Canis lupus familiaris: one gene and its partner. The protein of the gene in region 2 binds, or shares a complex with, the protein of the main gene of each other region. Links are inferred from orthologs where the notes say so. Each region holds a gene or a part of one and is shown on either strand. Other genes may lie near its edges.

Region 1 (2,861 bases), on a different chromosome or scaffold from region 2:
CTATGTGAGGGGGTTGCTCCGTCACCTCCATAGTTAATTGGCAGATCCTCCCTGGGGATATTTTCATAATCAACTGCACCATCCAGAAATGAGGGAAATGTGCTGGCAGTTCTTCTGGGATGAGAAAAGAAGGCACTGTAGTTAGCTGATAAAGTGTCATCGATGGTGTTGAGGTCTTTTAACCCAAGTGTCTGAAGAACCCAGGGATCCACAGGGGGCCCAGGTTGTTCTTCACAGTTAGCAAATTCACTAGAGAGGTTTCTCTTGGCATTTTTGTGATGGGGGATCTCAGGAGGAAAATATCTTTGCTCTCTGGGTTTCCTCTTTCTCTTTCTGAATTGTCCACATGCTTTGGAGAACTCATCTGATGACAGCAATTTCTAGGGAAGTAGCATTTGAAAATATATGGTCAGACAGTCAACCAAGATAATTTTCTTTACATTGTCTGCTTAAAACTCCTCCAAATACTTACTAGTCCCCTTAATTCCTTAGAAAATGTGATTAAAATTCTATTCTCTCTCTCTCTCTCTCATGTGTGCACATGAGAGAGCGAGCGAGCAAAAGTGATTAGATTAGCTTGTTTCTAAATTAACATCTATAATGACAAGTTACTACCTAGAAACCATAACTCATGTTTTACTAATCATATAAAACTTGAAAGAAAGAAATAATGTCTTTAAATTTTCAATTCAGAGAAGTAATTATTATAATAATGACAATAATAGCAACTATCATGTATTGAACACCTACTACATGCATAATATTCTCATTTTATAAAATCCTCTTTAGTGAGGAAACTGAGACACAGGCATATTAGCGACTTACTAAGGGTCATGCAGCCTTGATTAAATGTAAGCCATCTGAATCTAGACAGAGTAACTGATTGAAACAATATCTAACACTGCTTCTTCTTATTTCATTAACTTTCATAGTACTCTCAAGTGACATGTATTATTCTACATCTTAAACAATTGGGAAAAGAGAGAGAAAACTGCTAATCAATATAATTTACTAATTCAATAAATGTCTTTTTTTTTTTTTTTTTTACAAAATGGTGGTTGGAGTTAGGAGCCCAAGCTTGTAACTGGGAGATATGCTCCTTTTCTTAAAAAGGTGACTGGATTGTAACTAAATTACAGAGGAATCAGATATGGTACCCTTTCTTCTTTGAACTATTATTTCCAGTGAAAATGGTAAGGAACATCATCAATTTAAATTAAATTGAGTTTATTTAAATAATATCAAATAATGGAGCTTGTCTAGCAGCAAGGTAAAGATTGATGACGAAAGAAATAATGATAGCAGAAGGGCAAAAAGATAACAAAAATACAAAACCCAGAGAAAGGAAGAACAGAAAGAGACTATGGACAAGCTATTTGTCCTTGAGTCAGAAATAGTCCCTTTGAAAAGTAAGAAAAAATGTTCACTGAAAGATGATGTCATCAGCAATATATAATGGCCAATCAAAAGATCTGGGCTCTAACCCTATTCATAACATTTTAGAGCTGGGGAGATTCTTAAAGGATCTTTTAGCCTCTGCATTTACAGAGGTAGGTGAGTGAGGCTAAGTGAAAGAGCAATTTACCAAAAGCCCAGCAGATAATTAAAAGAACCGAGTGTCTTTCAGATCTGATTCCCACTGCAATGTTCCATCCATTTAACTCTGTCTTTTGATTAACCTCTGTTGTCTTAGCAATTCCCTTGACTGATTTTTGATCCTGAAGCAACTCTTTTTGTAATATATGGCTAAAATCTACAGTCTAGAAACTTCCAAGAAATGATACATAAGAAGTCTTGTGAAAGTGCCATATTGGAACGCCTGGGTGGCTCAGTGGTTGAGTGTCTGCCTTTGGCTCAGGTCATGATCCTGGGGTTCTGGGATTGAGTCCTGCATCGGGCTCCCCGCAGGGAGCCTGTGTCTCTGCCCCTCTGTGTCTCTCATGAATAAATAAATAAAATATATATTTTTAAGAAAGTGCTGTATTTCTTTCAGAAAAATCCATTTAGCCTATGAATGCCTTTGAAGCCATGCTTCAAGTACACCTTCTCTACTTTGGTCAAGTCAGTTTTACCCCAATGATCTCCATTCTCAAATCACTGCTCTGCTCTTAGGAACAGGATGGTTACATACCTTGGCCTTTTCCTCAAGACATTTAACCACAGCAGAATTCAGGTATTGTCTGAGATGATTATTCTCTTCGTGTAACCTAGCGAGTTCTTCTTCCTTCTGCACTAGAGTGTCTTGGAGCTGCGAAAAGCATACAGTGGTGAAGGCCCCTCTACTCTATTGACTTTGTAACTGTATAATCATGCCACTGATCCTTAACCTGCTTAAACTTTATTATTATTCTATTTGTTTTATGAACGCAACCTCAGGGAGCCCTCGTCCTCTCAGGCCTAAATTCAATCTACACCCACCCACCACCTCATTGTTCAGTTTTGTGCTCTGAACCTTTTATTCACTGCAAAGTATTTGAAGAGATTATATGACTTTCAAAGTTGTAACCACAAGGGAATTGGGAAGGTATGTAGGAAAATGAGCTGCGTGCAACTGTTTAAATATAGAAAAAGGTGTTTAGAAAGGTTTCACTAGACTCCTTCCTTGCATGTTAAGAAAAGATGAAAAACAAGGGTGGTGGTGGTTTGGCTTCCCTCATCCTCAGGCTAATCTGTTTGTATATCCACTAGATTAAATTACTCTCTCGGGAACAACAGCAAATAAAACATGGAAAATGAAGCAATCTTTGCAAAAATTTTATAATCATCATCCCTTCTCCAAGTGATAAGCTATGTTTATGTTTTAAAAATATTGTCACACTCAATATATCATTTGGTCTTTCCAACAGCCCTTTTTATGTTCC
Region 2 (3,656 bases):
CATGGTCTCACCTTTATAATGCTAATACTGTTAGTAAAATGTTAATTTATTTTATTCACAGAACACAAACCATCAGTGCAAAACAAGAAAAAGCACCAAGTAAAAAGCCGGTGAAAAAGAGAAAAAAGAAGAGAGCTGCCAATTGAAGTGCATAGAGTTGTATGTTTGTATATATAACTATTAAAAGGATATTTATTCAGTGCTAATAACTTTGGGTATTTTTCTACTCACAAATCCATTATAAAATCTAGTTGATTCTTTACATAGCATTTTACATTATGCTTTAAAATATTAACCTTCTGGACAACTTAACAGGTTTTAAATAATTGTAAAGTGTAAAAGTTGAGGAAAGAAAAAGCACTTTCATAGTGTGTTCAAAGGGCTGAAAGATTCTCAGGATCATCACAACTGATAAATAAGCACAGATTTATTCCAGATATGCTTAGATTATGCTCAAGTCACAAAATTGATCCAGTTGCTTAGGAAACTGAATATTAAAACTTCAATGTTTCCCTAAAACTATTTTTAATTTCAAGAGAAGCCTTCCCAGTCCCCTTCTATAGTAAAATCACATTAATTCTTCTGAGTGGTATCTTAAAGTCAAACCAATTTGACTTACAAACCAAATTTTCCAAATCCATTTATTAGTTCTTACTCTTATTGTGCTGACAGGTGGCATCATTAATACTTTAACAAAACCACTTAAAATTAGCCAAATAACTAAGATAGTTACATGTACAAAAGATATACAAATTAAAACCATTTAAAAAGTAATAGATACCATAATTTGTACTTGACCATAACTATTCAGAATGATTGTAAAATTAAAACCTTACAAAAACTGTACACCATATACGTTGAGTGATTTACATCTTAGAAAATAAAGGCAGTCTTTCGCTGTTAGACATTTAGTGTCTCTGGTGGGTTGAGGAGAGAAACACCATGATACCTGTAAGTAGGAAAAAACAGTAAATGTTCATCAGGTAAGATCATGGAATGATACATCTAATTAGGAACTCAAAAATGCTATTTCTATTCTGAATTAATGGTTATTAAATCACTGGTCCACAAAGCATGCATGCATGCCCCATTCCTCTCCCCTCCTCTCCCTCAAATGGAGAACATAAAGCCTCTAACTACAACTTGCTCAAAACAGTTGGCTTGCCAAGAGGAGGCTGTGCCTCTTTTGAATCCTTTGATAAAATGTCAAGGATCTCAGAATCCTACAGTAGCCAGGAAAAGCAAGCTTCTTTAATACCTATTTATGTTAATTCTTACTTTGAACTTTTATACTTTTCTCTTATAGACTGTTGTGCATGCTGTGGTGCTCTGAGGTAGGTCTGGTGAAGGTCCATGAGACAAGGCTTAAGACTTTCCAAGGTATATCCAGTCTTTTGAACTAAAGATTCAGGCTGCAGAGAAAGGAGTAGAGAACCACTGAGTTTTGTTTTTAGCAACACTAAACACAATGAGTTAGTAGTTGGTATTAAGCTTGAATTTCATTAAATTTAGGACTAACACCTCCAACTAACCAATCTAGTGTTCTCAAGCTGTAAATCCATCTTTTATGCTGACTTTGATCAATTTTTATTACTTTACCTGTCAGTAGTAGGTCACATCTTCCAAATCCAAGCAATAACTAAGCTTTCTATGTAACAAACATATTACTAAACAGGTAAACTTTAAGCAGCTTAGATTTTTTTGAACTGTTTTTCCAGGTAGGTACCTCTAGACCACCAACACTTGTACAGTTATCTAACTTATCTGGCCTAAATATTCAAATTGCTAGGTAGACATGTGAAGCATGGCAATACATACCCAGCTCTGTCCTGTGACTGTGTAGAGTGCTAAATGAAAGGCTGCTGCAGCAATAACTGATGGGAGATACTTTAGGTAGGGGTCAGCATCGATCAGACTTAATTCTCCCAAAAACTGGAATGAAAAAGTAAATACACTTGATGATTACAAGAGCTCTAGAATTCAAACCTCAAATTTTTGCCTTCTGCCCTAACATTTTCCACTCTTTAAGACTGGCTCTATGGCAACCAAAGAAAAAACCTCCCATAGCCTTATCCATTATCTTAGTGTTTTTTGCTCCATTCTCATCCTGAACTTTTTCCTCTTTTAATAATTTTTAAAACAACTCTTCTGGCTACCATTTCCTAAGACTTCATCCTTATACCACTATACTCCTGGTACTTTCCCAATTCATGTTCTCTTTTGCCAATGGTAGGCTCTTTTTATGCGGCAACACTACTTTGTCCCTGAAATACTAAATCCCTTGACCAAAGCTATGTAATTAAACTATGTGACCTAAAAATCTTCATTCAACAAAATGAAAAGAACTTACCATTGCTAAACTTTCAACTTTGCAGTTGGCAGACTGCTGGTGCAGAAAGTATTGGGTAAGAAACTGATTTACTGTTGGTGCAGCTAGGTCAAAAGCAAGCACTTTCAAAACTAGGTGCTCCATTCTCAGGACCTGTTTCTTGGTATAGGTATCATCTGTAATGTACACAAACTCTGCTACTTCTGGGGGGTATATTTCTTCAAACTTTCTACAATGAAAAAAGTTTTGAGTAATCAGTTCTTCCAAAAAGAGAAGCAAGCTGTTTATCTAATTCTGAAATCCCTTTAGCAGAGCAAGCTGTTTATCTAATTCTGAAATCCCTTTAGCAGAATACATGGAATGAATCCAAAACCTATACTCCACCACAATGCCAGAATTCACCAAGTAACTAAAAATTTAGGAAATTCTTAGAAAAATAAACATTTTTAGTTTTTGAATTTAGTTTCCATGTCTTAATGGTGAGAAGATTTCATGCCAGAAAGTACTTTTTGATGGAAGGAACCACTTTTAAACTTGGTAATCTAGTCCTAGCATATTAAAATATAGCCCGTCTCCCATCTTCATTCAAGAAAATTCCCTGAAATCTAGATCTGGGAAAATTAATGTCCTAAATTAGTTTCTTACTCTGTTTCATACTGCTACCCCTTAAAGTAGTCACTCTCTGCCTTGTGTATATTAAAATGTCACAATGTTAAAAATCACAACTTCTTCCCTACACAAGAAGTTATCACTTTTAATCCAACAAACCAGGTTGGACTTACGAGGCCAAGAGCATAGCAGCAGTGCCCACAAGCTGAAGTTTTCCTCTCAACACAGACATCGATGAAAGGAACCTATCAATGTAGTTCACAGCCAAATGCAGGGTCTCATTCTGTAGTTTATATTCTTCTCCTACTTCAACTAACCAGTCCACAAGGATAGCCCTCATACTGTTAGTGATGTCTGGCTGTTTCTTCATGTAACCCACTTTAGGCTTACATTTAACCTGTTGAGAAAGTTACTTAGTATAATGTTAAAATTACAATTAGATTATTCTACCATTAACAAAGATGCTACATACCAGAAACCTAAATACAACAGAATAATCCACTAGCAGTTAAAAAACTTAAAATCATCCCCTTGGTTTCATTTTGCCACAATGAATAACAGTATAAAAACTGGATTCCAGAGCTGTTACCTCCATTTCCCTAAGGTATGTGTGAATGTCCTCATGGTAGTCTGGAACTTCATTGACACTCAATGGCTTTTCATCTTCTAATACAATTGATATGTCCATAGTATGTGGTGACTCTGGGAGGATATAAAA

What was found.
Region 1: the proteins of CCNA2 (region 2) and GMNC are in contact, whole or in part, in a cryo-EM structure (PDB 9HIU), measured with the Homo sapiens proteins. The link is inferred for Canis lupus familiaris from reciprocal best matches to the Homo sapiens genes CCNA2 and GMNC. Residues at the interface, in NP_001228.2 of Homo sapiens: Met210, Ile213, Leu214, Asp216, Trp217, Glu220, Val221, Glu224, Arg250, Leu253, Gln254, Tyr280, Ile281, Thr282, Asp283, Thr285; in NP_001140158.1 of Homo sapiens: Asn165, Ala166, Lys167, Arg168, Asn169, Leu170, Ser171, Glu173, Phe174, Ala175.

What each region holds. Positions count from the first base shown.
Region 1 is NC_049255.1:22,977,319-22,980,179, forward strand, and holds part of GMNC (geminin coiled-coil domain-containing protein 1), read right to left. Parts: intron 2,249-2,861; coding exon 2,132-2,248; intron 381-2,131; coding exon 1-380. UniProt on the Homo sapiens protein: Regulator of DNA replication. Promotes initiation of chromosomal DNA replication by mediating TOPBP1- and CDK2-dependent recruitment of CDC45L onto replication origins.
Region 2 is NC_049240.1:19,147,588-19,151,243, reverse strand, and holds part of CCNA2 (cyclin-A2), read right to left. Parts: intron 3,641-3,656; coding exon 3,528-3,640; intron 3,336-3,527; coding exon 3,112-3,335; intron 2,559-3,111; coding exon 2,351-2,558; intron 1,933-2,350; coding exon 1,819-1,932; intron 1,413-1,818; coding exon 1,279-1,412; intron 950-1,278; coding exon 901-949; 3' UTR 147-900; coding exon of another isoform or gene 62-146; 3' UTR 1-61. Other genes in the region: EXOSC9 (exosome complex component RRP45), read left to right, coding at 62-146. UniProt on the Homo sapiens protein: Cyclin which controls both the G1/S and the G2/M transition phases of the cell cycle. Functions through the formation of specific serine/threonine protein kinase holoenzyme complexes with the cyclin-dependent protein kinases CDK1 or CDK2.